Linked DNA regions of Elephas maximus indicus. The protein of the gene in region 2 purifies or fractionates together with the protein of the main gene of each other region. This does not show direct contact. Links are inferred from orthologs where the notes say so. Each region holds a gene or a part of one and is shown on either strand. Other genes may lie near its edges. The genes, in order: BBS4 and BBS7.

Evidence for each region.
Region 1: the proteins of BBS7 (region 2) and BBS4 purify together in Homo sapiens (co-immunoprecipitation; 7 studies listed by BioGRID and IntAct, counting the BioPlex papers as one, with this or other methods). This does not show direct contact. The link is inferred for Elephas maximus indicus from reciprocal best matches to the Homo sapiens genes BBS7 and BBS4.

What each region holds. Positions count from the first base shown.
Region 1 is NC_064831.1:62,862,478-62,878,221, forward strand, and holds the start of BBS4 (Bardet-Biedl syndrome 4 protein), read left to right. Parts: upstream 1-9,375; 5' UTR 9,376-9,405; coding exon 9,406-9,429; intron 9,430-15,018; coding exon 15,019-15,070; intron 15,071-15,744.
Region 2 is NC_064823.1:25,330,398-25,346,382, reverse strand, and holds the start of BBS7 (Bardet-Biedl syndrome 7 protein), read right to left. Parts: upstream 5,970-15,985; 5' UTR 5,808-5,969; coding exon 5,772-5,807; intron 4,073-5,771; coding exon 4,007-4,072; intron 1-4,006.

The DNA.
Region 1 (15,744 bases), on a different chromosome or scaffold from region 2:
CATTTCTGTCCTAGATTCCCTGATTCCTTTTGTCCTGCCTTTTTATCCCTTCCTGCCTTCTCATCTTTGCTTTTTGACAAATGTTACCCTTTTGATCTCACATAATTGATTGTTCTAATGAGCCCATTCCTCCTGGGTGTTATTGTTTATTTTAAGGACCTGTCTCCTGGATTGACTTTAGTTACAGTTCAGAAGGGTGTCTTAGCACCATAGTCTCAGGGGTTCCTCCAGTCTCTCTCAGACCAGTAAGTCTGGTCTTTTTTGTGAATTTGATTTTTGTTCTACAATTTTTTCTCCCTCTGTTGTGATCCCAGTCAGAGAGGTCGATAGCAGTAGCCGGGCACTATCTAATTCCTCTGGTTTTGGGGTCATGTAGGCTGTGGTTCGTGTGGTCCATTAGTCTTTTGGACTAATTGCTGTCTTGAATCTTTGGTTTTCTTTACTCTCCTTTGCTCTGGATGGTAAGAGATCAACAGATGTATCTTAGATGGCCAATCAGAAATTTTTAAGACCCCAGATGCTACTCATCAAAGTAGGATGCTGAACTTTATGGATTAAGTTGTGCCAGTTGATGTAGATGACCCCCAAGTCTATAGTACTTTGCCTTTAAATCTAGGAACTTCATCCCATGAGAAATTTGGTTTTGTCTAAGAAGTTGCCCTGACTGTGGCTCTTGTGTACTCTATTGTCTATAGTAATATATAAGCAGCACCTACAGTTATGTATGTAGAAATATCTATGACCTAACCTGCAGGTGGGTGTGTTCCCTTACACCCTTCCACACCTCTTGGTGTACCTATCAGTTTATGTATCTAGCTATAAATTAGTGGTTGTTAATACTATTGTTGCAGGGTTGTCTATGCTATCATAATTGCCATTGTTGCCCTTTGTTCTTGCATTCCTCTTAGTGTCCTCCCATGCCTTGGTCCTGTTTTGTTGATTTCCCCCATATAGTGTATTGTCTTTCCCTTTGCCAATATTAACACATGCCTTGTATCTATTTGGTAATTTTCCGTCCCTTCCCCTCTCATCCCAGGTAACCATCAAAGAATTTCTTTCCATGTTTGTAAACCTTTTCTTGTTTCTTTATGATAGTGGTCTCATACAATATTTCTCCTTTTGTGACTGACTTATTTCACTCAGCATAATGTCCTCCGAAATTCATTCATGCTGTGAGATGTTTCATCATTATCCTTTATCGTCGTACTGTATTCCACTGTGTGTATGTAGCACAGTTTGTTAATCCATTCATCTGTTGATGGGCACTGCTTAATATTATTTTAAAGTAGCATTTCCAAAACTGCTGGCTGGGCTCTAAGGAACGGTGGTATGGGTTTGGGGAGGACTGGACATTTCAAAAGTGGCAGAAGGTGCTAGAGAGTTGTCTAGCAGGTGTGTTAGAACAAAGCTAGCTGTGGACCTCAGGAAAATGCGATGACATTAAATTTTTTAAATGTAAAAACTCAACTACAACTCCTTCTTTATGCACATACTGGGGATGTTAAAAAGTTACTAATGCCTGATTTCTCCCTGCCTCCTCAGCCCCCATCACGAGGAAAAGACATAAATACCATTTTGTTTGGAATGCCTTGGCCAGCTATATGATTTGACTGATCCTGATGATGATCGAGGAGTTTTTCTAAGTGAAATGAAGACTGCCACATTCTTTATGTGATTTCTGGGATTTTCCTGTGAAGATAGTATGTATTATGAAGAGATTTTTCTATTACCAAAACTCTAGCCAATAGAATTCAACAACATATCAAAAAAATAATTCATCATGACCAAGTGGGATTCATATCAGGTATACAGGGATGGCTCAACATTGGAAAAACAATCAGTGTAATCCATCACATAAATAAAACAAAAGAACCACATGATCTTATCAATCAATGCAGAAAAGGCATTTGACAAAGTCCAACACCCATTTCACATTAAAAACTCAGCAAAACAGGTATAGAAGGGAAATTCGTTGACATAATAAAGAATATTTATACAAAGCCAAGAGCCAACATCAATCTAAATGAAGAGAGTCAGAAAACATTCCCCTTGAGAACGGGGCCCAGACGAGGATGCCCTTTATCACCACTCTTATTTAACATTGTGCTGGAGGTCCTAACCAGAGCAACAAGGCAAGAAAAAGAAATGAAGGGCATCCAAATTGGTAAGGAAGAAGTAAAAGTATCCCTATTCGCAGATGATATGATCTTATACATACATAACCCCAAAGAATCTACAAGAAAACTACTGGAACTAATAGAAGATTTCAGCAAAGTATCAGGATACAAGATAAACATACAAAAATCAGTTGGATTCCTCTACACCAACAAAAAGGAAATCACCAAATCAATACCATTTACGATAGCCCCCAAGAAGATAAAATACTCAGGAATAAACCTAACCAGAAATGTAAAAGACCTATACAAAGAAAACTATAAGACACTATTGCAAGAAACCAAAAGAGACCTACAAAAGTGGAAAAACAACCATGCTCATGGGTATGAAGACTCAACATCGTGAAAATGTCACTTCTACCCAAAGCGACCTACAGATACAATGCAATCCTGATTCAACTTCCAGTGGCACTTTTTAACGAGATGTAGAAACAAATTGCAAACTTCATATGGAAAGGGAGGAGGCCCCAGATAAATAAAGCATCACTGAGAAAGAAAAACAAAGTGGGAGGCCTCACACTACCTGATTTTAGAAATTATTATACTGCCACGGTAGTCAAAACAGCCTGATACTGGTACAGCAACAGATACATAGACCAATGGAACAAAATTAAGAATCCAGACATAAATTCATCCACTTATGAACAGCCGATATTTGACAAAGGCCCCAAATCTGTTAACTGGGGGAAAAGATAGTCTCTTTAACAAATGGTGCTGGCATAACTGGTTATCCACCTGCAAAAAAATGAAACAAGACCCGTACCTCACACCATGTACAAAAACTAACTCAAAATGGATCAAAGATCTAAATATAAAATCTAAAACAATAACAATCATAGAAGAAAAATAGGGACAACACTAGGAACCTTAATACATGGCATAAGCAGAAAACAAAACATAACTAACGATGCATAAACACCAGAAGAGAAACTAGGTAACTGGGAGCTCCTAAAAATCAAGCACTTAAGCTCATCAAAAGACTTCACCAAAAGAGTAAAAAGAGAACATACAGACTGGGAAAAAATTTTGGCTATGACATATGCAATAAGGGTCTAATGTCTAAAATCTACAAGATACTGCAACACCTCAACAACAAAAAGACAAATAACCCAATTAAAAAATGGGCAAAGTATATGAACAGACACTTTATCAGAGAAGACATTCAGGTGGCTAACAGATACATGAGGAAATGCGCACGATCATTAGCCATTAGAGAAATGCAAATCAAAACTACAATGAGATACCACCTCACCCCAACACAGCTGGCACTAATCCAAAAAAACACAAACTAATAAATGTTGGAGAAGTTGTGGAGAGACTGGAACACTTGTCCACTGCTGGTGGGAATGTAAAATGGTACAACCACTTTGGAAACCGATTTGATGCTTCTTAAAAAGCTAGAAATAGAAGTACCATACGATCCAGCAATCCCACTCCTTGGAATATATATTAGAGAAATAAGAGCCGTCACACGAATAGATCTAGGCACACCCATGTTCATTGTAGCACTGTTCACAATAGCAAAAAACTAGAAACAACCTAGGTGCCCATCAACAGATGAATGGATAAACAAATTATGGTACATGTGCACAATGGGAATACTAGCAACAATAAGGAATAATGATAAATCCAGAAAACATCTGGAGGGCATCATGCTGAGTGAAATTAGTCAGTCACAAAAGGACAAATATTGTATGAGACCACTATTATAAGAACTTAGAACCAAAAAACAAACCCATTGCCATCAAGTCAATTCCGACTCATAGTGGCCCTATAGGACTATAGAGTAGTTCTACTATAGAGTAGAACTGCCCCATAGGGTTTCTTTTTTTCTTTTTTTAAAATTTTTATTGTGCTTTAAGTGAAAGTTTACAAATCAAGTCAGTCTCTCACACAAAAACTTATATACACCTTGCTACATACTCCCAATTGCCCCATAGGGTTTCCAAGGAGCACCTGGTGGATTCGAACTGCCAACCTTTTGGCTAGCAGCTGTAGCTCTTAACCACTATGTCACCAGGGTTTCCATAAGAACTCAAGAAAAGGTTTAAACACAGAAGAAAACATTCTTTGATGGTTACCAGGGTAGAGAGAGAGGGAGAACAGAATTCACTAACTAGATAGTAGACAAGAATCATCTTAGGTGATACTCCACTGGTCTCACCCCATTGGGAGCAAGAGAGAATGAAGAAAACTAAAGACACAAGGGAAAAATTAGTCCAAAGGACTAATGGACCACAAGACTCAGTCCAGCACAACTAAGTGGTACCCGACTACCACCACCGACTGCTCTGACAGGGATCACAATAGAAGGTCCTGAATAGAGCTGGAGAAAAACATAGAACAAAATTCTAACTCACAAAAGAAGACCAGACATACTGGCTTGATAGAGACTGGAGAAACCCCAAGAGTATGGCCCCCAGACACCCTTTTAGCTCAGTAATGAAGTCACTCCTCAGGTTCACTCTTCAGCCAAAGATTAGACAGGCCCATAAAACAAAATGAGACTAAAGGGGCACACCAGCCCAGGGGCAAGGACTAGAAGGCAGGAGGAGACAGGAAAACTGATAATAGGTAACCCAGGGTCGAGTAGGGAGAGTGTTGACATGTCATAGGGCTGGTAACCAATATCACAAAACAATACTTGTATTGTTTAATGAGAACCTAGTTTGTTCTATAAACCTTCATCTAAAGCATAATAATAAATAAAAGAAAAAAATAGAGTCATCTTAGGTGAAGGGATGGCCCACATATAATACAAAGAAAGTCAGCACAACCGGACTAAAGCAAAAGCTAAGAAGTTTCCTGAACAGAACCAAACACTTTGAGAGACACAGTAGCTGGGGCTGGGGTCTGGGGACCATCTAGGTCAACTGGCATAATAAAATTGATTAAGAAAATGTTCTGCATCCCACTTTGGTGAGTGGCATCTGGGGTTTTAAAAGCTCTGTGAGTGACCATCTAAGATGCATCAATTGGTCCCAATCTGCTTGGAACAAAGGAGAATGAAGAACACCAAATACACAAGGAAAATATTAGCCCAAGAGACAAAAGGGCCACATAAACCAAAGATTCCATCAACCTGTGACCAGAAGAACTAGATGGTGCCCAGCTACCACCAATGACTGTCCTGACAGGGAACACAAAAAATGGTCCCCGACAGAGTGGGAGAAAAGTTTGGAGCAGAACTCAAACTCACATTAAAAAAAGACAGACTTAATGATCTTGACTGAGACTGAAGGAACCCCCAAAGCCATGGCCCCCGGACTCTCTGTTAACCCTGAACTAAAACCATTCCCAAAGCCCACTCTTCAGACGAAGAGTAGACTGAGCTATAAAATAATACTCATGAAGAGTGTGCTTCTTAGTTCAAGCAGATCTACAAGACCAAATTGGTGACTCCTTTCTGGAAGCAGGATGAGAAGGCATGAAAGGACAGGAGTTGGTTGGATGGATACAGGAAAACCAGGGTGGAAAGGGAGAGTGTGCTGTCACTTTATAGGGATTGCAACTAGTGTCACATAACAATATGTATATAAGTTTTTGTATGAGAAATTAAGCTATAAACTTTCACCTAAAGCACACACACAAAAAGAGTACAAAAAAATACAATAAGACAAATAAAAATGATAACTATGATAAAGCAAACTCTTCCTTTGTTATTTGCATGGAAAAAGAGGACATTAAAACAAGAGTTAATATCACAGTGTAATAAAGAAAGCCACCATAAGAAAACCAGTAATCAGGAAACAAAGTCCAAAAATTTCAGTAGGTTGCATGAAATCTTGTTCTGTGATCTTGGGAGGAGCTGTGTACTTTGACACCATCTGGTTCTGGCCACAAGGGTGTTTGAACTTCAGTTTAAATCCTTCAGTAGGTTTAACAGTCCAGGCAGGGGCTTCAGCTTTCTCAAGTTGGGATAACCCTGCTTCCACTCCCCTCCCCCCAGAAAAACCCTAAACGCATTGCCGTCAAGTCAATTCTGACTCATAGTCAGCCTATAGGACAGAGTAGAACTGCTCCATAGGGTTTCCAAGGAGTGGATGGTGGATCTGAACTGCCAAACTTTTGGTTAGTGGCCAAGCTATTACCCACTGTGGCACCGGAGCCCCTAATTTGGGATAAGCAGATCCAAATTTTAACCTCCTATAATTTAGCAGCACAAGGGTTAGTGACAAAGACCAAAGACAGTCCTGTCCAATGAGACTCCAGGGAATCTTGTAATTGGTGCCTCTTTTAGTATACACAGTCACCTGGTTCAATAGTAGGTAATTTTTGTATTTCTAAATTTTGCCTGTCAAAAGCTTGTTTGATTCAGAAAAGGTGCTCTTTAGAGTACTGAATCAAAGACTGACAATATTTAAATAATTCTGGTTGAACTAAATTAGAATCAGAATAAGATGAAAAGTAAAAATGAGCCATAGGTCTTCCAGTAATAATTTCATGTAGGGTTAATTTATGTAACCCAATGGAGTGGATCTCAAATTTAGAAGGACTAATGGAAGGACCTTAGTCCAGGATAAGCTTAAGGACTCAGAAAGCTTGACTAATTGAGTTTTTATTATTTCATTAGTTTTTTTCTACTTAGCCCATAAGATTGTGGATGGTAAGGGCAGTGAAATCTTTGATAAATACGAAAAATCTTACATATTTCTTTAATTACTTGTTCAGTAAAATGGGTTCCCCTGTCACTGCAATGAATTGTAGGTTCTCCCCAAGTGGGGTTATGTTTTCAAGAAGTTTCTTAGCTACAAAGGTTGTAGCTGCATGGTGGCTAGGAAAATCTACTCTATGTGAAAATCTGAAAATCATCACTACTACGTATTTGCAACTATTTGAAGGTGGGAGCTGGATAAAATCTAATTGCCATTCAAGCATAGGTCCTGAAGGTAATGAGCATTTCCCAGGTGAAACTTTAAAAGGTTTGTCTGGGTTATAGCGAGAACATATAGAGCAATGAGAGGCAGCCTCAAAAAACTGTCCCCACCAATACTTCTTTTTCTGTCTCAGGACAACTTGGGTAGTTGGGACAGAAATTTGACATTGCAATTCCTTATTTTGTTTAGTTAATTTAGCAGAGAAACTATTTTACTCTTATCACATATTCTAGATACTGCAAAATACCAATTAAAATAAGCATCCCATTGTTTTTGTTCCATTTGCGAGCCTTTCTTTTCTAGTTTACTGCACAAAAAACTCTGTTTAATTATGGCCACATATTTTTTCAGACTGTCCTTAGAAAGACTATGCTAAGCAGCAGGTACAAGCAGGCAGCAGAGCCACAGTGCTTGTCCATATATCAGACAGGAGTCCCAGAAGGGAATTCCATATAGCCCCTAGATATGGCATTTCCCTTTTTAAAAGAAGGTTCAAGTTTGTTCAAAGTTTTAGACTCTCTGACTGGACAAAATCTTATGGAGCCTGATATATCACAAACTTGAAATCCTGTAGGACAGCAATTTGCCAACTGGCCCAGAACCTCACACTACTGCCACTAGCAGAGGCAAATTCTTGCAAGAACAAAGTCAGAACAAAATTAGACAGATCCTTCAACAAATCTCAAAGAGCTCAACACAAGAAAGCAGAGCTTGGAATTTGAGAGGCCTTACTCTAACTACTCCCCAAAATTTGTGGAGACGGATGAATGCAATGAGCTCATGTTGGTGACAGAGCTCAAGGTCCTCAACCTCTTAGGATCACTGAAGATAAGGCCCCTTTGAATCCTACTTCCAACACCAAGGAATGTCGAAAAGGAACTGGAATCCCTGTTAAAATTAAAGCAAAGAGTTTCATTAAAGGAATAAAATGATTTGGATTGGGCATCACTTTGTGAAGGTTCACAAAAGTGCTCCAGTGAAAGGATTTTTTCACAGAGTTTAAGTACAGAAAGTCCAGGAACTTACAAGGAACAAATTCTGATTGGTTGACACAAAATAATGATTTAACAGGCACCAGACAATTGCAAGATCCCTTAAGCATTGTTTTGTTAATCATAAAGTTTCAGTTAACCTCTTGTTAACCTATGGATATCTGGGGGGGCAGCTTGAGTGTGTATTCTTCCTGGAATAATGCTGTGAGAGGGAGGGGAGAGACCGCAGCCTTCCTGAAGTATTCTGGCTTAGCTGACTTTTTGAGATTCAGCTCAGAATGAGGAGTAAATAATGGAGTCCGGCCTACATCTTTTGCAGAAAACTCTCCTCATGCCAAGCACCTAGATTTTTGGGGCTCTTTCATAACTCTACAGTTGGTTCTCTGGGTGCAGGAACTCTGTATGTTTTGTTCATCACATAATTCTGGCACTTGTTGAATGAATGAGGCTCAGAGAAATGACTGGCTGAGGTATAATCAAGACCAGAACTCATGTTTGACTCCCAAGCCCACAGTTTTCCCAGGATAATACAGTGAAGAAACTTTAGCATTTAATTCACCACATCTGGGTCCAGATAGGTAAAGGAAACTGGGGTATGTGCTGCAAAGTAAGGACTGTGCCAAAACAGCCAACAAACGCTTATCTTAAGTCGGAGCCGCTACTCATACTCATTTCATTGCCATGTAGGAAAGTACGCCTATTATCTGCTCTTCTATTTATCCCGAGACTGGGTTTCTGGCATTCTGATGAAACCTCATGATTTTAATATATTTCCAAAAAGCAAGACTGTGGCTCAAACACAGCGTGTTTTCAAACAGGCATAGATACTAATGGGAGGCCGATGAGGCGAATTTGTCTGCAGGATATTGGCAGCTAAGAAACGAAGAGGTTTTGTATGTAAGAGTAGATGAGACTCTGCCATAGGCCCGGGATTGGGGGGCGGGACTCCCGGATGGAGGACTGCAGTAAACGCAGAGCGAGGCCAGAGCAGGGCAGCGAAAGAAGGCCCGAGAACTCCCAAAGACTCGCTGCAGTGCTAGGTGAGGCTGGCCATGTGCACTCGCGCGGCCCAGGGTTTCTCTAGCAGCCTCCCGACTTTAGTGTGGGCATTAGGAGATGCCCAGAATAAAGGGAAAGACTAGGTCCTTCAGAGCCAAGCCTCCAGTAGGGTGGACCCCGACCCCCTCCCAGCTTCCTGAGGTCTCTTGGTCTCCCAGCCGCAGTCTCAGGCTCTGCCACCTACTTCCTTTCCTGCTAGGCTACCCGCCTCATCCGCCGCCGTCCCCAGTCCCACGACTTCCGTTTGCCTAGTCGCCTTGGAAACAGTCGATTTCCGGTCGCGCAGCAGTGGGCGGAGCCAAGATGGCCGAGGAGCGACCTGTGACGGTGAGCGCTGTGATTCTCCGTAGAGTCCAGGCCGCCAGGCAGGGCTGGGCAGGGCAGGGCTGGGCAGGGCCGGGCCGGGCCGGGAGGCGAGACAGGCTGGCCAGCGCTGGGCCCTGGCTCCGGGCCTTAGTCCCACGCAGCCGCTCCTGAGGCTTTGCGGAGTCGGATCCTGAGCTGCTCGGGGTGGGTGGGGCGACGCGATCCCGCTCCTGCTCCCCCAGGGTCTGGCCAGCCCCGACGGGCCCGAATCTGCTGCGGCGGATCCCTTCTAGCACTCTGGTCCCCCTTGGGCTTCGCTGGGCTGAAAAGCGAGATTTTCACCAGAAATGGCTCTTTTCCTAGCTCCGTCTTCTCTGTCTCACGTGGTTTGGAATGGAAGCAGTACTGCACATGAAGAGACAAGTTTTTGTTAATCCCCTGGATTAGGAATTTAATTTGACAAAGCCTGCACGTTTTCATAGCCACTGCCTTCTGCCGGTGGGGTGGGGCCGGTTTTCTCTGTTGTGATTGAGAAAAGCACTGTTTTGGGATTCATTGGAGGCTAAATTAGGTGTTGATTAAACTCTACGGAGCTGCTGATACAGAGTAAAAAGTAGCCCAGATAAATTCAGATGACCCAGTAGTAAGTGGAAGTAATTTGTAAAAAGTCCCAAGTGTGAAACCTTTATCGGTCTACCTTGCTTTAGTGTATTGGGCTTCAGAGCACGTTCCGCCTATTTGTTAGGCTGATTTCAGAATTTATTACCCTTGGAAAAAGTCCCTGGAAGACATAAAACAAACAAACAAACCAACACCAAACCCGTTGCGGTCGAGTCGATTCCGAGTCATAGTGACCCTAATGGGCAGAGTAGAACTGCCCCGGAGAGTTTCCAAGGAGCGCCTAGTGGATTCGAACTGCTGACCTTTTGGTTAGCAGCTGGAGCTCTTAACCACTAGCCACCAGGGTTTCCGTAGGAGGTAATAAAATAGCAGCCTTTGGCTGAGTGATGGGAGATCTCCCAGTATAACTGAGTGAAACTAACCCAATTTGGATCACACAGAAATTCTAATATGCTACCAGGCAACTTACGGGTTATTACTAGTTCCTTAGGGAGGAAAATGGAGACCGATAGTTATATTTTGTACAAGGATATATAATAAATTGTTTAGAGTTCTACAAAAAAAGGGGGGGGGAGCACAAATAGCTCTGTTTTAAGTTGAACAAAGATCTTAGATAACCATGATTTAGAAATTCTTTTATGACTCCCTAATTCACATTATATGAGATATTTGTATGAATAAATGTCTTTTCACCTGTAAATTAAACGATTAAAACCTTTCGGAACGGGGTGGGGGGAATAAAAAACATTAGCACTGCATTGGCTGATCTGGCTCAGATACAGTGCTCCATGAATATTTGTTGTGTGAATAAATAACCATACATAAAAATGAAGAAAGAACCAAAAAATAGAAGGGATTTATTCCATGTGTATCCCAGACTCTGAATGAGGTTAAGTGAGCTGATAGAAATCTTTCCATTTCAGAATGTTCTGGAAAGTCTTTTGAGGAAAAATACTCATTTAAATTATTATAATTTTTGTAGCTTAAAAAAAAAGTTTCCACTGTGGCTAAATATATGTAGCAAGAAATTTCAACAATTTTTATGAGTCTGGTGACATTAATTACATTCATGATGTCATGCAACAGTCACCGCTGTTTCCACGTTTTTCATCACCCTTAAAAAAAAAAAAAAACCGAAAAACTATACCCCTTAAGCAGTACCACCCTTTTTCCCCCTTCCACCCAGCCCTGGTAACCACTGATGAACTTTGGCCTCTATGATTATAACTTATTTTAATTCTACTTTGTGCAAAAAGTAGGGAATTAATCATGAAGCTAGAGGAGACGCTTTTTGAACTCTTAAGATTTTTTCCTTAGTATGTTCCCCAAAGTAAACAAACAAACAAACAAAAAACCCAGTTAGGTGAAAAAAAAAAGTTTAAGTTCTTTAGTGTTTTAAATACAGCTTTATTGAGGTATAATACACATGCCATAAAATTAACCCATTTTAAGTGTACAGTTTGATCAATTTTAGTAAATTTATATAGTTGCACAGTTGTCAACACAGCCCACTTTAGAACATGTCCCTCACTCCAAAAAGTTCCCTTGTGCCCATTTGCACCCATTTTCTATTCCCAAGCCAGCTCCTGCTTGTCTGCTTTCTGTCTCTATAAATAAAAAGCCAAAGCAGTTGCCCTTCAGTCAGTTCTAACTCATGGTGACCCCATGTGTTGCAGGGTAGAACTGCACTCCATAGAGTTTTAAAGGCTATGACCTTTCGGAAGCACATTGCCAGGCCTTTCTTCCAAGGTGCCTCTGGGTAGGTTCGAACCGCCAACCTTTTGGTTAACCATTTGTGCCACCCAGGGATTCCTATAGGTTTTCTTTTTCTAGAAATTTCAAATAAATCATATGACATGTAGTCTTATGTGTCTAGCTTTCACTTTTGTTTTTGAGGTTCATCTGTGTTGTTACGTACAGCAGTAATTTGTTCCTTTCTAAGTAGCGTTCCATCGTATGGATGTATACATTTGTTTATACATTCACCATTTCATGGCTATTTGGATTGTTTCGTGTTTATGGCTATTATGAATAATGTTGGTATGAATGTTGGTAACCAGCCTTTCTATGGACATGTTTTCATTTCACTCGGGTAGATTCCTAGGAGTGGAGTTGCTGAGTTGTATGCGAAGTGTATGTTTAAGAAAACACCAGCAATGGTTTAAGAAAATAGTTTCAAGTAACAAAAGATTTAAGAAGAAAATTGCTTCCTAAGATTTGATTTAATTTTATTTAATTCAGTACTTTTACTCTAGTAATTGGTGCAAACCCCCACAAACACCACAGGGAACAACAGTGTTTTGTGGGCATGGGTTTGAAAACTTTTTTAGGCATTGGAAAGGCAGTCAAGAATTTTAAGTGGCGAATAACACCATCAAATTTATGTTTTTGGCTGGAAAGATCACTTGATGTTAGAGGATGGTATGGAGAGAGGAGATATGTAATGGTTAAAACACAGATTCAGATTAAAAAAAAAAAAAACAAACCCGTTGCCACCTAGTTGATTCCAACTCATAGCAACCCTGTAGGACAGCATAGAACTGTCCCATAGGGTTTCCAGGGAGCGGTTGGTGGATTTGAACTGCCAGCCGTTTGGTTAGCAGCTTAACACTTAACCAGTGTGTCACCGGGGCTCCAGATGCAGACTGCCAGAATCCAAATCCCAGCACTGTTGTTTATAAATTGGATGAGCTGGGACAAAGTACTTAATTTCTCTGGCCTCAATTTCTTCATCTGTAAAATGGGGTCAGTGATTAGTACCAGCTTCATAGGGGTTCTTTTTTTTTTTTATTGTACTTTAGATGAAGGTTTATAGAACAAACTAGCTTCTCATTAATAGTTTGTAGTTAGAGCATTTCTAGTGATTTTTTCTCTAAGTGTTTTAAAGTTTTACCTTTTCCATTTTAGTCTTCAATCTGTCTTAATCAAATTTCATTTTCCTGATGAAGCTTTTTCCCTTAACATCTATTTTGTCTGATTTTAATATTGCAACTTTGGTTTTCTTTTTGTTTCTGTTTGCCTGGTATATCTTTTTGTATCCATTTGCTTTTTAAATTTTTTCTCATGTTTTAGATGTCTTTATACAAATAGCACATGTTTAGATATTTTTAAAGCCATCCTGAGAATATGTCTTCTAACTGGAGAATTTTCTTTTTTTCCTTCTCCCTTGCTTCTTTTTTACGGCTGAGTTTTTTTGTTTGTTTGCTTTTCCCCCGTTTAAGTCCCTCTCCTAGTTTGAAAGTTATATACTCTATTTGTCTTCCTTTAGTGGTTAACAAAGAAAGTTTAAAGTTTAAATTTAAGACATTTAACTTAAATTACTTAATTTATAAAACTTGCTTTCATACTTAATTACAAAAAACTTAGTACTGTTTATTCTCATTTGGATAATACAGGGACTATTGAATGTTTTATCTGCGGGTTTATGCTGTTGTTCAGTTTTGTAGTTCTTTGTATTTTTCAATTCAACATCACAAATTTACATTACTGTTTTTTTTTTGTTTATTTAGTCAGTCAGCTTACAGAATATTTACATGTTTTATCAATTTCTTTACTCGTTCTACTCATGAGTTCTGGGGTTACTCTTTTTCTTCCTGGTATGTATCTTTTAAAAGTTTATTTAGTACGTGTCTAAAAACTCGCAAATTTTATTTGTCTGGAAGTCTTTCAATTTACCTTTGTTTTTTAAAGTTAATTTTGATGGGTATGAGAGCCTAGATCAGGGGTCAGAAAACTTAGTGTGTAAAAGATCAAATAATAGTATTTTGGGGTTTGTCCAGTTTCCAACACAACTAAACTATGCCATTGTGCGTGAAAGCAGCCATGGACAGTATATAAATATAGGAGCATGGCTGTGTTCCAATAAAATTTCATTTCTAGACCCTGAAATATGAACTTTATTTAATTCTCATATGTTACAAAATATTTTTATTTTTCTCAACCATTAAAAAAATATAAAAAGACATTCTTAGCTCACACAATGTATTAAAAAACAGGCTAAATTTGACCCACAGGCCATAGTTTGCTGAATCCTGGCCTACGTTAAAATTCATTTTTACTTAGCACTTAACACACGGAGTCCATTGTCTTCCATTTTTAGTTGTTGAGAAGTCAGCTCTCAGTCCAACTGTCCTTTTTTTGTAAGGTAACATGGTGATGTTTTTTTGCTTTGGCTGCTTTTAAGAACTTTTCTTTGTCTCTAGTGCAGTTCCCTGTGATGTATCTAAGTGTGGATTTATTTATATTTAATCTGATCAAGATTTGTTGAGCATCCAGAATCTAAGGATTGGTGTCCCTCATTTTTCTGGAAAATTTTCAGCCATTATTTTTGCTTACATAGGAGGTTGATACAAGAAGAATCTATTTGAAGGTTTTCTGTGAAGTGGGAGAGTAAGCTAGTATCTATTATGTCTTAGAATTTAGTGCTAGGTAACTTCTATGTAGATGACCTCGTAAGCTTCCTCTTACCAAACAGTGATCGCTTTTTTGGTTTGACTGCTGAAAAGTATAGCAGTAAGTATAATACTAAAATGAAGTGTCTGAGAACTTAGTACATTTATTTGTGCATCTTTTACTATATAATTTTTTATATATTATAAATAAGGAACTCTGGTGGTGCAACTGTGAAGCATTTAGCTGCTAACCGAAAGGTTGGCGGTGGCTGGTGATCTGTTCCTGTAGAGATTACAGCCTCAGAAACCTTATGGAGCAGTTCTGTGCTTCACATGGGGTTGCTATGAGTCGAAAATCGACTTGACGGCACCCAACAACGATGTTGTAAGTATACATTATACATTATTAATAGTTCAGACAGCGAAAGTACAACTTGACACTTGGCTTTTAAACTATGTTCAGAATAATTCTTTGTACCTCTGTGAAGTTCATGGATTCATTGCATCTTTGGTGAGCCACTGATTATTCCTATTATTTGAACGCCTCTTTAAGGTAGCAGGGTATATGGTGCTTTAACGTAGACTTCTGTCCTTTCAGAGAACTCAGCCTCCTGCATCTGTTGAATCTCAAAAACCCCGGCTGAAGAAAGGTCTGTATAGCGGTTTCATTGTATGTGCGTGTTTGTACAGATTTCCCTTTGCCTGTTTGATTTTTCTATTCTATATTCATTAGAGCTTTTAAAATCTGAGTGTTAAGGAACAGTGGTAATACGCTCTTCTGTATTGATTGAAGTTTTTATAAAGTACGTATTATTTTAAAAAAGTTATATTCTAAAAATAAACAGGAAACCCCAAGCTAACCTGTAACCCAACAGTTACTTTTACAGGAATTTACTGTAAACCAGTAAGATTGCAAGCATAAATGTTTATTTTGATGTTCATATTAGTAGAAATGGAAAATAATAAATATCCAACATAAGGAATTAGATTATTACTCCCACAAAATGCAATACTGTATAATCATTTAAGAATGATATAATAGTAATAAATTTATTGATGTTTAGCATGTATTAAAATAAAAAGCAGTTTTAAAACTGTATGTGATATGATTTGTTTTTATAGAATTAAAAGTTGTAGAAATTGAGAACATTACAGATATTCTGAAAATATGTCATTTTCGGTGCTCTAGAAGACCATTCCACATATGTGTGTATAAATATATATATTGTTGTTGTTAGGTGCCATAGAGTTGATTTTGAGTCATAGCAACCCCATGCGACAGAGTAGAACTGCCCCATAGGGTTTCCTAGGCTGTGATCTTTAT
Region 2 (15,985 bases):
TAACCACGGTGCCACCAGGGCTCCTGCAAAAAAGCAATGGTGGGTAAAGAATTGTTGATGACTGATAAGAGTCAAAACAATGACACCAAACTGTACCAGTGGTCACTGCATTTTTCATCACCATTTGATAGCTAAAAAAAAGAAAAAATGCCAGTTTCACATAAGAATACCCTTGTGGAAGCAGTAAAACATATTAATTTTATTAAACTCCGACCCATGAGTACTTGTCTTTTTAGTACTTACTATGATGAAATAGGAGCTATGCAAAAAGCACTTCTGCTGCATACCAAAACAGTCTCAAGGAAAAGCACTGTGTAACTGAATTACGAGTTGAACTACCTGTTTTTTTTCAAGAAACATCACCTTAACTTGAAAGAACAACTAAGAGCTATAGTTATTAACACTTGGGTATTCAGCATTTTCTTGAAACTGAAGGAAGTGAGCCTGTCACTTTGAAGGAAAAAACTGACAGTATTTGTTGCCATCGATAACACTTGAAATTTCAAGTGAAAATCAGTATTTTGGAAGATTTGTATCTGCTACTGTGAGCCTGACAGCTTCCCAACACTTACTGATTTTTCTGGTGAAATCAATAAGGAGCCCTGCGGGGTACAGTGGTTAATCACTAGGCTGCTAACCAAAAGGCCGGTAGTTCGACGCACTAGCAGCTCCTCAGGAAAAAGATGTAGCAATCTGTTTCTGTAAAGATTGTTGTTGTTGTCAGGTGCTGCCCAGTCGGTTCTGACTCATAGCGGCCCTGTGCACAACAGGAAGAAACACTGCCTGGTCCTGCACCATTCTCACAATTGTTGCTCTGCTTGTGCCCACTGTTGCAGCCACTGCGTCAGTCTAACCTGTTGAGGGTCTTGCTCTTTTTGGCTGACCCTCTACTTTACCAAGTATGATGTCATTCTCCAGGGACTGATACCTCCTGGCAATATGTCCAAAGTATTTAAGACCCAGTCTCGCCATCCTTGCTTCTAAGGAGCACTCTGGTTTACTTCGTCCAAGACAGATTTGTTCGTTCTTTTGGCAGTCCACGGTATGTTCAATATTCCTTGCCAACACCACAATGCAAAAGCGTCAATTCTTCTGTCTTCCTTATTCTTTGTTCAGCTTTCCCATGCATATGAGGCAATTGAAAACACCACGGCTTGGGTCAGGTGCACCTTAGTCCTCCAGGTGACATCTTTGTTTTTCAACATTTTAAAGAGCTCTTTTGCAGCAGATTTGCCCAATGCAATGTGTCTTTTGATTTCTTGACTGCTGCTTCCATGGGTGTTGGTTGTGGATCTAAGTAAAATGAAATCCTTGACAACATCAATCTTTTCTCCGTTTATCATGATGTTGCTTATTGATCCAGTTGTGAGGATTTTTGCTTTTTTTATGTTGAGGTGTAATGCATACTGAAGGCTGTGGTCTTTGATCTTCATCAGTAAGTGCTTCAAGTCCTCTTCACTTTCAGCAAGGAAGGTCATATCATCTGCATAACACAGGTTGTTAACGAGTCTTCCTCCAATCCTGATGCCCTTCATATAGTCCAGCTTCTTGGATTATTTGTTCAGCACACAGACTGAATAGGTATGGTGAAAGGATACAACCCTGACGCACCTTCCCTGATTTTAAACCATACAGCATCCCCTTCTTCTATTTGAACAACTGCCTCTTGATCCACATACAGATTCCTTATGAGCACAATTGAAAGTTCTGGAATTCCCATTCTCTGCAATGTTATCCATAATTTGTTATGATCCACAGAGTTGAATGCCTTATCATAGTCAATACAACACAGGTAAACATCTTTCTGGTATTCTCTGCTTTCAGCCAGGATCCATCTGACATTAGCAATGATATCGCTAGTTCCATGTCCTCTTTTAAATCCGGCTTGAATTTCTGGCACCTCCCTGTTGATTTACTGCTGCAGCCACTTTTGAATAATCTTCAGCAAAATTTTGCTTGTGTGTGATATTAATGATATTGTCTGATAATTTCTGCATTTGGTTGGACCACCTTTCTTGGGAATAGGCATAAATACAGATCTCTTCCAGTTGGTTGGCCAGGTAGCTGTCTTCCAAATTTCTTGGAATAGACGAGTGAGTACTTTCAGTGCTGCATTCATTTGTTGAAACATCTCAACTGGTATTCCATCGATTCCTGGAGCCTTGTTTTTCGCCAATGCCTTCAGTGCAACTTGGACTTCTTCCTTCAATATCATTAGTTCCTGATCATGTTACCTCTTGAAAACGTTGAACATTGACCAATTCTTTTTGGTATAGTGTTTTGTGCATTCTTTCCATCTTCTTTTGATGCTTCCTGCATCAATAAATATTTTCCCCGTAGCATTCTTCAGTACTGCAACTCGAGGCTTGAATTCTTTCTTCAGTTCTTTCAGCTTGAGAAATCCTGAGCATGTTCTGGAAACCCTATGGGGCAGTTCTACTCTGTCACACAGGGTCCCTATGAGTTGGAAGGAGCCCTGGTGGCATAGTGGTTAAGAGCTCTGCTGCTAACCAAAAGATCAGTAGTTCAAATCCACCAGGCACTCTCTTGGAAGCCCTATGGGGCGGTTCTACTCTCTCCTATAAGGTTGCTATTCTGATTTGATGGCACCTACCAACAACAACATGACTCAGAATTGACTTGATGGCACATAACAACTACAACAACAACATAATGAAATGTATCAATATTTGGAAGATCTGTATAACTTGATGAACCAATAATCTCAAATCATCGAGGGTGCAATAAAATCATGCAGGGTTTTTAAAAGATTCAAAGTGCGAGACAGACCAATGGATATTAATGTAACAGAGTATGAAAAGTTCATCAACATGATTTCAGATTCCACATGGCACCTAAAGAAACTATCGTAGGTCAAGGTATTTAAATACTGCTTCCTTTTATCAACTACACATCTGTATGACCCAGATTTTCTTCATACACTTCAACCAAAACAAGGTATCACAACACACTGAATACAGAAAATAAATGAGCATTCGGCTGTCTTTGCTACCAGGCATTATATTAAAATATAAAGCAATGCCTTTCTTCCTGCTAAATTCTTTTTTTGTTTTAGAAAATACCTTCTTTTCACAAAAATGATTATATAAACATGCAATGGATTTATTATTTTCAAATAAAATAATTAGTATTTTAAACAATTCTCAGTTTTAATTTTTATATAAGTATTAATGGATATAATCTATATAAACAAAAGTTCTTTAAGATCATCAGTAATTTAAGAGTGTAAAGGGATCCTGAGACCCAGAAGTTTGTGAATCATTGATCTAATAGGCTGAATACAATAAATGACAATCAGAAACCTACTGCTGTATCTTGATATATACCGTACTCACTTTGAAGCTATTAAAATATCCTATTAGCCTACTAAAACCCCCCCAAAACCAAACCCGGTGCTTTCAACTCAATTCCAACTCAAAGCAACTCTACAGGACAGAGTAGAGCTGCCCCATAGGGTATCCAAGGAGTAGCTGGTGGATTCGAACTGCTGACCTTTTGGTTAGTAGCTGAGCTCTTAATGGCTGCGCCACAAGGGCTCCATACTAAGAAATTGTAATTGCAGAAATCATAAGATAAGTATTTCTATAAAAATAATGATACTATTAAACACAAATGTGTGTAATTATTTACTTAAAGTTTCAATTCCTCTTAGAGATATGAGAAAGTTTAAAGAAATCATTTTGTCTATATCCTATTTTACATTTCCTTCTCCATATACACAATATGATACACACAGAGTAAATTATTAGCAGAAAAAACTATATTATGGTTTTTAACTGGTTTGCTAATATGATTTACTAATTACACATAATGCAATTATAATGTGCAAGAAAATTATTGTGTGTAAATGACCCTTGGTATTCTGACCTCTGTTCAAATAACAAGAAATTCAGTTCCAATTTACTATTAGCATTTTTAAAAAAGCAACTTAACAATGATGAAGGAAATATAAATCTTTCTCTGTAAAACATTATCCATACAGTACCTTTTGTGTAGCTCTATGTTTTGAGGCAGGAAGTAGCTTCATAGTCTTCTGAGCGGTCACTCCTACCTAAGAAAACACACCAGCATTTGCTAAATGTTCTCTTATGCACTGCAATTTGAAGTTATTACATCAGATGTAAAAGAATCACCAGTTTCATATCACAGTGAGTCTTTTTTTTAAACTGCAATTAATGATGTAACTATTATTATCAATGACAAACTTATATTCTAATGAATTATGTCACAAAAGAGAGAATATAGGAAAATAACCAAAAATAGCAAAATATATCCAGAGAGTTGTCAAGCCAAAAATAATTATGTGGCATTACTGGTAAGGTGCTTCACAAAACAATACTTCTAGAAGCCTTTTTTATAAATTCATACTACTTGTTAAAGAGTTTTTTTAAGTGATTAAAAATCTTTGGAAATAGATTAGCTTTATTAAAAACGAAACAGAAAAATTTTGCTAAAGTACCAGACATGCTGATGACTTGATAACATCCAATCTAACTAATGGTAAAGATTATTTTACGTAAGGTAGGGAGGATGAAAACACCATGGCTTGTTCAGCAGGGAACTGTCACTAGTGGTATATACTTAGATGAGAAGTATAGGGCTATTGAGAGAGAAGCTGGAGAAAAAAAAGATTAGGAAAGAACTATGAAAGAACTTACATGTAATACAGATCTATGATTTTATTCTGCATTCTGGGGTGTAGTATTAACATTTAAGGTAATAATCTCTTTAGATTTGTATTTTTGGAATACCAGTCTAGCAAGTAATGCGAAGAATGGACTGAAGGTAGGTGAAACTGCAGGCCAGGAGCCCAGTTAGGAGGTTATTTCAATTATCCAAGCCAGAGAAGATGACAATCTGAACTGGGGTAATGGCCATGGGGGGAATGGGACAGATTGAAGAAACATTTAGAACATAAAAGCAGCAAGATATGGTGGCCAGTTCAACGTGTAAGAGATTAAGGTGAGAGTACCTAGCATGACTCCCAAATTTCTAGCTTGAGGGAAACTGACTGGGCAACCATTTGTACTATTAATCTAAATAGAGGAGATGGGAGAGACAGATAACGAATTCAGTCTTAGATCTATTTCGAGGAGGCTGAAAGAAATCCTGAGAGAAAATGTGGTGTAAGAGAAAGAAAAACTGTGGAATCCAAGACTTTGTTTCAAATAGAGACTCTCCATCATTTCTGGTATTAAGCAAACTGCTTACCTTCTCTAAGCCCCTGGATCCTCATCTGTTAAGACTATCCACTTTGCAGAATCTTTTATGAGGACTAAATATTTACGTAAAACTCTTAGAATGAACTAGATGATCACTAATGGGTTGCCACTGCTTTTCTTATGATCTGCCTGGTGCTGTCCGGCTCAAAGTTGGGACCATGGGTCTGGCGCTCGGGAGAAGGTGCGGGGTAGAGACAGATCAGGGAGCTTCAGGCCCACAGGGAGCCGCAGCCGGGAAGGCGGAGGAAAAGGGCCCTAAAGCGAAATCCGGGGAGAGCACCCTCAGCAGGCGCCAGGTCCGCGGGGGCGTGTGTCACTTCTTTCCAAGTCCCAGCGGACCGTCACCCACCAGCCGGACCTGCCCGCTCCCCGCGAGAGGGTCGCCGGGAGGGCGGTGCCCGGCCGGGCTCTTTCGCGCCCAGCCCGCGTCCGCACCGGGAGACCCGGACAGAGGTCTGTGGAAGAACGAATCCTCTCAGGGCGCGAAGCTCAGCCAGCGCGGCGCTTGCCCCACCCCCTCGGATTTACCTGTAAATAATCTGCTCGGTTTAAATTCAGATCCATGACGGCTGCACTGACGCGCCGGGCAGCGCCGGGCCAGAACAGGAAAGACAGGCGCTGCGGGCCCTCAGGCCTCGGACCCGGCGACGAAGGCCGCCCGCGTCCCCCTCTGAGGTGCAAGCCCACGTACCGCGGCCTCCGGCGGGGGATGCAGGGGTAGGGCGTCGGGGCAGCAGCGTCGGTCGTGACGTCAGTACGTTCACGTGAGTAGTCCCTGGACGAAAATACGCCCCGCCCACGCGCCCACAGCCCGCCTACTACCTTAACCTGCTCCAATCAGAGGCGGTGAGGAACGCAGGACACGGTCCAGGGGACCAAGGTAGGGCGGTTTCCAGGGAGACAAGAGACGCAGTCTTGGCTCCAGCCCTTTCCCTTTGCCCTGCTTTCCTAGCTCTTTCCCTCAGAGCATGCCTCCTGCTGTGTGGAGCTCAGGTTTGAGTCCCCGGTCGACTCTAACCTACTTCACTTCGTTAGTGCGAAGGGAAGAATTCGGCTCCACCGTTATAAGCGTTAGCTTACAATAGCAGTTCTCAAAATTCTGCCCTCAGGGCTTTTTTACAAAACCCTTAAAACTATTGAGGACCCCAAAGAATTTTTGTTCATGTGAGTTTTCTACTGATATTTACTGTATTAGAAATTAGAGCTGAAAAATTTTTTAATTCATTAAAAATAAACCCATTGCATAGATTACATTTTAATGAAAAATACAGTTTCCAAAATAAAAAGAATGGCGTTGTTTGCCTCTATTTATTGTTTGCCTTAGTAGTAGACAGCAGGAGTCCCAGATCTGCTTCTGCATTCTATCTATTGCTATTTGTTATTTTTGTTGAAGTATATGGAGAAAATTTGGTCCAAACTAGTCAAGTAGTCGTTTTTGAAAGGTTAGTTGCAATACGGAGTCTGGCTTCATGATACAGTATCAAAAAATCCTATTTGTTAAAACCGCCACAAATCTCATCAGAAAATTCTTGAAGCATGGGAAAGCTGTCAAACTCATATGGTAGATACAAATTTTCCAAAATTCTAATTTATACTTGAAAACCCGAATTTTAAGCATGGGCGACAAATGTCAGTTGTTTTCCTTGAGCCGATAGGTTCCTTCTTGAATTAATGAGAAAACGTATGCTAAATAACAAGTCCAAATAATCTTAGTTTGTCAGTCGTTCTTTGAAATAAAACTAATGTTCCATGAAAACAGCAGAGTTCTGCTAGCAACTCATATAATCACACAAGTGCATTTCCTTGAGACAATGTACTTCAGTATTCAGCAGAAGTGCTTTATGCGTACTTCCCATGTCATCCCACAATATTAAAAAAAAAAAAAGACATGTACTCAAATTGAGGCTTAAAGTTAACAATCTTTACTGCTCCATGAAGGCCATGTTCATATAAAACCTTATTTGGTTTCCTGCCAGTGTGTGGCATGAAGGATACAGTGCCTACTAATACAGTTTGGAGACATCGTCTTGATTCATACTTAGGCGCCAGCAGTCTTAACCTCCATTGCTTTTGTACCATCAGTGCAAATGTCAACACAGCGAAAAAGGCAAATAATGTCTTTGTGTTACTATGAAGATAGTTTCAAAATTGCAGACCCCAGAAAAGGCCTAAGAGAACCCCAGGGGTCTGCAGACTACACTTTGAACATCACTGGCCTTTTTTTTTTTTATAGTGACCTAGAATCTGACTGAGAGCTGACATTCCTTGACTCACTTTTGTCAATTCTTCCTTAGTTCACAACGCGATCTGCCTGTCAAAATTCAGATGAATATGATAGAGCCCTTTTCCTGATTTCTGTGATCTACTACAGAGGAGGGTTCACAAATGATTGTGAAACAACACAAGAAGAATTAAATCCCTGAGAAAAAGTGAAATTAGGAAGAGAACTGAATTCCTGCAGAAGGATCTGAGAAGATTTTTGCCTAGGGTTTTTCCAGGGTGTTCTGGCCAATTCCTTTTCTGAGGCTAAAATAACAGACAACAATACATGAGGATGGGTTACCTGTTCAGCAATTTGGGGAAAATACATCTATCAATTTAGACTTTACAGAAAAATACTTATCAGAGAAATTTTAGAAGTTAATAGAGAAGTAAAACCATACAGGAGATCAGAGGAAATAAAATTGTGTAGAATTTTATAGAATTTAATATGTTGGAAGGGAATTGTCTCGTCTCAGAGGGAATACAAGAAACCACAAACAAAATCAGATATGAGAAGTAATGATGAATCATTTCTATGTCACAAAAATAAAAAAAAAATTAACAAAAATTTGGGAAAACATTTACAAAGAGTTAACTTCTTTAAACAAATTAATAAAATTAAGAAATACTATGACTCCAATAAATGAACAGGTAACGATATGAATAGACAGTTCACAAAAGAGGTGACTACTGAACAAACATGTAGAAAACTACTACTCTCACTGTAATCAATCATATCAAAGCAGGATGTCTTTCTATTTTGCCTTTCAAATTGGAATGTAGGTTTAAATGATAACACTGTATGCTGTAAGACACACTCATCAACTGCTTGTGATGGCATAAACTAGTAATAAAACCTTTTTCAAAGTCACTTTAGCAATAGGCATGGCAACCTATAAACCTAACCTTTTACCCCATAAACCTAACTCTGAATATTTAGTCTATGAAAACAACAGGAAGTAGTTAAGAAGTCATAATTGAAACAATCTTTAAATTAGGGACCTAACTGTCCAATAATGGGGGAATGGTGCATCGACTCTGTGGACTATATACAAGTGAAAATAATGAAGGCTGTATAGCAATGTGAAAAGCATTCCAGTTATACGGATAAGTTAAAAGGCAGGAAATAAAATGGTGTGTATACTATGACCACAATTACGTGAAAGGACTGTTGAGAAATACATTAGGAAGTTTTAGTTGGTTATTAATTGAAAGATTATGGGCTTTCACCCCCTATTTTTTCTGTTTCCATAAAATGCTTGCATAATTTGTAATAAAAATTTCCATTTTTTTATTTTTTTTATTAACTTTTATTAAAGTTTCAAGTGAACGTTTACAAATCCAATCAGTCTGTCACATATAAGTTCACATACATCTCACTCCCTACTCCCACTTGCTCTCCCCTTCTTGAGTCAGCCCTTTCAGTCTCTCCTTTCGTGACAATTTTGCCCGCTTCTCTCTCTCTCTCTCCTCCCATCTCCACTCCAGACAAGAGTTGCCAACACAATCTCAAGTGTCCACCTGCTATAATTAGCTAACTCTTCATCAGCGTCTCTCTCCCACCCGCTGACCAGTCCCTTTCATGTCTGATGAGTTGTCTTCAGGAATGGTTCCTGTCCTGTGCCAACAGAAGGTCTGGGGACCATGGCTGCCGGGATTCCTCTAGTCTCATTCAGACCATTAAGTTTGGTCTTTTTATGAGAATTTGGGGTCTGTATCCCACTGATCTCCTGCTCCCTCAGGGGTCCTCTGCTGTGCTCCCTGTCAGGGCAGACGTCGATTGTGGCCGGGCACCAACTAGTTCTTCTGGTCTCAGGATGATGTAGGTCTCTGGTTCATGTGGCCCTTTCTGTCTCTTGGGCTCTTAGTTGTCGTGTGGCCTTGGTGTTCTTCATTTTCCTTTGCTCCAGGTGGGTTGAGACCAATTGATGCATCTTAGATGGCCGCTTGTTAGCATTTAAGACCCCAGACGCCACATTTCAAAGTGGGATGCAGAATGATTTCATAATAGAATTATTTTGCCAATTGACTTAGAAGTCCCTGCAAACCATGTTCCCCAGACCCCCGCCCTTGCTCCGCTGACTTTTGAAGCATTCATTTTATCCCGGAAACTTCTTTGCATTTGGTCCAGTCCAATTGAGCTGACCTTCCATGTATTGAGTGTTGTCTTTCCCTTCACCTAAAGCATTTCTTATCTACCGATTAATCAATAAAAAACCCTCTCCGACCCTCCCTCCCTCCCCCCCTCGTAACCACAAAAGTATGTGTTCTTCTCACGTTTACTATTACTCAAGATCTTATAATAGTGGTCTTATACAATATTCGTCCTTTTGCCTCTGACTGATTTCGCTCAGCATAATGCCTTCCAGGTTCCTCCATGTTATGAAATGTTTCACAGATTCGTCACTGTTCTTTATCGATGCGTAGTATTCCATTGTGTGAATATACCACAATTTATTTACCCATTCATCCGTTGATGGACACCTTGGTTGCTTCCAACTTTTTGCTATTGTAAACAGAGCTGCAATAAACATGGGTGTGCATATATCTGTTTGTATGAAGGCTCTTGTATCTCTAGGGTATATTCCCAGGAGTGGGATTTCAGGGTTGTATGGTAGTTCTATTTCTAACTGTTTAAGATAACGCCAGATAGATTTCCAAAGTGGTTGTACCATTTTACATTCCCACCAGCAGTGTATAAGAGTTCCAATGTCTCCGCAGCCTCTCCAACATTTATTATTTTGTGTTTTTTGGATTAATGCCAGCCTTGCCGGTGTGAAATGGAATCTCATCGTAGTTTTAATTTGCATTTCTGTAATGGCTAATGATCGTGAGCATTTTCTCATGTATCTGTTGGCTGCCTGAATATCTTCTTTAGTGAAATGTGTGTTCATATCCTTTGCCCACTTCTTGATTGGGTTGTTTGTCTTTTTGTGGTTGAGTTTTGACAGAATCATGTAGATTTTAGAGATCAGGCGCTGGTCGGAGATGTCATAGCTGAAAATTCTTTCCCAGTCTGTAGGTGGTCTTTTTACTCTTTTGGTGAAGTCTTTAGATGAGCATAGGTGTTTGATTTTTAGGAGCTCCCAGTTATCTGGTTTCTCTTCATCATTTTTGGTAATGTTTTGTATTCTGTTTATGCCTTGTATTAGGGCTCCTAGGGTTGTTCCAATTTTTTCTTCCATGATCTTTATCGTTTTAGTCTTTATGTTTAGGTCTTTGATCCACTTGGAGTTAGTTTTTGTGCATGGTGTAAGGTATGGGTCCTGTTTCATTTTTTTGCAAATGAATATCCAGTTATGCCAGCACCATTTGTTAAAAAGGCTTTCTTTTCCCCAATTAATTGACACTGGTCCTTTGTCAAATATCAGCTGCTCATACGTGGATGGATCTATGTCTGGGTTCTCAATTCTGTTCCATTGGTCTATGTGCCTGTTGTTGTGCCAGTACCAGGCTGTTTTGACTACTGTGGCTGTATCTGGTTCTGAAATCAGGTAAAGTGAGGCCTCCGACTTTCTTCTTCTTTTTCAGTAGTGCTTTGCTTATCCAGGGCTTCTTTCCCTTCCATATGAAATGGGTGATTTGTTTCTCTATCTCCTTAAAATATGACATTGGAATTTGGATCGGAAGTGCGTTAAATGTATAGATGGCTTTTGGTAGAATAGACATTTTTACAATGTTAAGTCTTCCTATCCATGAGCAAGGTATGTTTTTCCACTTAAGTATGTCCTTTTGAATTTCTTAGAGTAGAGCTTTGTAGTTTTCTTTGTATAGGTCTTTTACATCCTTGGTAAGATTTATTCCTAAGTATCTTATCTTCTTGGGGGCTACTGTGAATGGTATTGATTTGGTGATTTCCCCTTCGGTGTTCTTTTTGTTGATATAGAGGAATCCAAGTGATTTTTGTATGTTTATTTTATAACCTGAGACTCTGCCAAACTCTTCTATTAGTTTCAGTAGTTTTCTGGAGGATTCCTTAGGGTTTTCTGTGTATATAATCATGTCATCTGCAAATAGTGATAACTTTACTTCTTCCTTGCCAATCCGGATATCTTTTATTTCTTTGTCTAGCCTAATTGCCCTGGCTAGGACTTCTAGCACGATGTTGAATAAGAGCGGTGATAAAGGGCATCCTTGTCTGGTTCCCGTTCTCAAGGGAAATGCTTTCAGGTTCTCTCCATTTAGAGTGATATTGGCTGTGGGCTCTGCATAGATGCCCTTTATTATGTTGAGGAATTTTCCTTCAATTCCTATTTTGGTAAGAGTTTTTATCATAAATGAGTGTTGGACTTTGTCAAATGCCTTTTCTGCATCAATTGATAAGATCATGTGGTTTTTGTCTTTTGTTTTATTTATGTGATGGATTACATTAATGGTTTTTCTGATATTAAACCAGCCTTGCATACCTGGTATAAATCCCACTTGATCATGGTGAATTATTTTTTTGATGTGTTGTTGGATTCTATTGGCTAGAATTTTGTTGAGGATTTTTGCATCTATGTTCATGAGGGATATAGGTCTATAATTTTCTTTTTTTGTAATGTCTTTACCTGGTTTTGGTATCAGGGAGATGGTGGGTTCATAGAATGAGTTGGGTAGTATTCCGTCATTTTCTATGCTTTGGAATACCTTCAGAAGTAGTCGTGTTAACTCTTCTCTGAATGTTTTGTAGAACTCTGCAGTGAAGCCGTCCGGGCCAGGGCTTTTTTTTGTTGGGAGTTTTTTGATTACCGTTTCAATCTCTTTTTTTGTTATGGGTCTATTTAGTTGTTCTACTTCTGAATGTGTTAGTTTAGGTAGGTAGTGTTTTTCCAGGAATTCATCCATTTCTTCTAGGTTTTCAAATTTGTTAGAGTACAATTTTTCATAATAATCTGAAATGATTCTTTTAATTTCATTTGGTTCTGTTGTGATGTGGTCCTTCTCGTTTCTTATTCGGGTTATTTGTTTCCTGTATTTCTTTAGTCAGTCAGGCCAATGGTTTATCAATTTTGTTAATTTTTTCAAAGAACCAGCTTTTGGCTTTGTTAATTCTTTCAATTGTTTTTCTGTTCTCTAATTCATTTAGTTCAGCTCTAATTTTTATTATTTGTTTTCTTCTGGTGCCTGATGGATTCTTTTGTTGCTCACTTTCTATTTGTTCACGTTGTAGGGACAGTTCTCTGATTTTGGCTCTTTCTTCTTTTTGTATGTGTGCATTTATTGATATAAATTGGCCTCTGAGCACTGCTTTTGCTGTGTCCCAGAGGTTTTGATAGGAAGTATTTTCATTCTCGTTGCTTTCTATGAATTTCCTTATTCCCTCCTTGAAGTCTTCTATAACCCAGTCTTTTTTCAGGAGGGTATTGTTCAGTTTCCAAGTATTTGATTTCTTTTCCCTAGTTTTTCTGTTATTGATCTCTAGTTTTATTGCCTTGTGGTCTGAGAAGATGCTTTGTAATATTTCGATGTTTTGGACTCTGCAAAGGTTTGTTTTATGACCTAATATGTGGTCTATTCTAGAGAATGTTCCATGTGCGCTAGAAAAAAAAGTATATTTTGCAGCAGTTGGGTGGAGAGTTCTGTATAAGTCAATGAGGTCAAGTTGGTTGATTGTTGTAATTAGGTCTTCCGTGTCTCTATTGAGCTTCTTACTGGATGTCCTGTCTTTCTCCGAAAGTGGTGTGTTGAAGTCTCCTACTATAATTGTGGAGGTGTCTATCTCACTTTTCAGTTCTGTTAAAATTTGATTTATGTATCTTGCAGCCCTATCATTGGGTTCATAAATATTTAATATGGTTATGTCTTCCTGATCAATTGTCCTTTTTATCATTATGTAGTGTCCTTCTTTATCCTTTGTGGTGGATTTAAGTCTAAAGTCTATTTTGTCAGAAATTAATATTGCTACTCCTCTTCTTTTTTGCTTATTGTTTGCTTGATATATTTTTTTCCATCCTTTGAGTTTTAGTTTGTTTGTGTCTCTAAGTCTAAGGTGTGTCTCTTGTAGGCAGCATATAGATGGATCGTGGTTCTTTATCCAGTCTGTGACTCTCTGTCTCTTTATTGGTGCATTTAGTCCATTTACATTCAGCGTAATTATAGATAAATAAGTTTTTAGTGCTGTCATTTTGATGCCTTTTTATGTGTGTTGTTGACAATTTCATTTTTCCACATACTTTTTTGTGTCGAGGCGTTTTTCTTAGTAAATTGTGAGATCCTCATTTTCATAGTGTTTGACTTTATGTTAGTTGAGTCGTTACATGTTTCTTGGTTTTTATCTTGAGTTATAGAGTTGTTATACCTTTTTGTGGTTACCTTATTATTTACCCCTATTTTTCTAAGTAAAAACCTAACTTGTATTGTTCTATATCGCCTTGTATCACTCTCCATGTGGCAGTTCAATGCCTCCTGTATTTAGTCCCTCTTTTTGATTATTTTGATCTTTTACCTATTGACTTCCATGATTCCCTGTTATGTGTATTTTTTTTTAATTAATCTTAATTTGTTTGTTTTTGTGATTTCCCTATTTGAGTTGATATCAGGACGTTCTGTTTTGTGACCTTGTGTTGTGCTGATATCTGATATTATTGGTTCTCTGACCAAACAATATCCTTTAGTATTTCTTGTAGTTTTGGTTTGGTTTTTGCAAATTCTCTAAACTTGTGTTTATCTGTAAATATCTTAATTTCGCCTTCATATTTCAGAGAGACTTTTGCTGGATATATGATCCTTGGCTGGCAGTTTTTCTCCTTGAGTGTTCTGTATATGTCGTCCCATTCCCTTCTTGCCTGCATGGTTTCTGCTGAGTAGTCTGAACTTATTCTTATTGATTCTCCCTTGAAGGAAACCTTTCTTTTCTCCCTGGCTCCTTTTAAAATTTTCTGTTTATCTTTGGTTTTGGCGAGTTTGATGATAATATGTCTTGGTGTTTTTCTTTTTGGATCAATCTTAAATGGGGTTCGATGAGCATCTTGGATAGATATCCTTTCTTCTTTCATGATGTCAGGGAAGTTTTGTGTCAGGAGTTCTTCAACTATTTTCTCTGTGTTTTCTGTCCCTCCTCCCTGTTCTGGGACTCCAATCACCCGCAGGTTATCCTTCTTGATAGAGTCCCACATGATTCTTAGGGTTTCTTCATTTTTTTATATTCTTTTATCTGATTTTTTTTCAGCTATGTTAGTGTTGATTCCCTGGTCCTCCAGATGTCCCAGTCTGCATTCTAATTGCTCGAGTCTGCTCCTCTGACTTCCTATTGCGTTGTCTAATTCTGTAATTTTATTGTTAATCTTTTGGATTTCTACATGCTGTCTCTCTATGGATTCTTGCAGCTTATTAATTTTTCCACCATGTTCTTGAATAATCTTTTTGAGTTCTTCAACAGTTTTATCAGTGTGTTCCTTGGCTTTTTCTGCAGTTTGCCTTATTTCATTTGTGATGTCTTGAAGCATTCTGTAAATTAGTTTTTTATATTCTGTATCTGATAATTCCAGGATTGTATCTTCATTTGGGAAAGATTTTGATTCTTTTGTTTGGGGGGTTGTAGAAGCTGTCATGGTCTGCTTCTTTAAGTGGTTTGATATGGATTGTTGTCTCCGAGCCATCACTGGGAAACTAGTTTTTCCAGAAAATCCACTGCGTCCGGTCCAAATCCTGGCAGGATGGTTCCCTGGCTGGGACGCTGCTCTTCCTGCTCCAAGACCAGTCACTGCCTCCCGGGGACTTCTTCTACCGGCTGCGTCCCACGCCGCCCGTGGAACCGGCTGGTCCCCCTCCTGGGGTTAGTTCAGGGGGGTGGAGCAGCTCTCTGTGCTTGTGCCGTACCTGACTGGTACGCTGGCTCCAGGCTCTGAAAACAATTGCTGCTTCCCTGTATTAGTTCGTTCTCCATCTCTAAATCTGTGTTTTTTGTTCAGGGTTCGTATATTGTTAGGTATGTGATCGATTCACTTGTTTTTCCGTGTCTTTGTTGTAAGAGGGCTCCGAGGTAGTGTCTGCCTAGTCCGCCATCTTCAAAATTTCCATTTTAAAAACAAAATTTTTTAACAACGTTAATAACTAAGAGATTGTAAGAATCAGCTATTTAACTCAGCGCATAGCTGCCATAGTAGGTGCCTCACTCTCCTGGTGATTGCAACATGCTGGTAAAGTGTGATCTAAGACAGATGGTACCAAAGCCTCCCACTATTTTCTGGTTTACCTGCTCAGGTACTAGCAATGCATGTTAACAAATTAAGGGAACTGGTACTCAGATCATTACTATTATGTATTTGCATTATAACAAACCAACCATCAAAATACTGAAAACCTGGTGAAGTGGGCAGACATTATTTTTTTGAAAATTACACTTGGGGAGTATGATGAGTATCCCACGGCTGGATAAAATCTTAGGAACCCTCTAATCCCATGCTGGTTTTTTGTTTTTTTGATTCATAAACTCCTTTCTTAGGAATATATAATCTCTTGAGGCTCTTAGGAATTTTTAAAATTATGTCATTTTATTA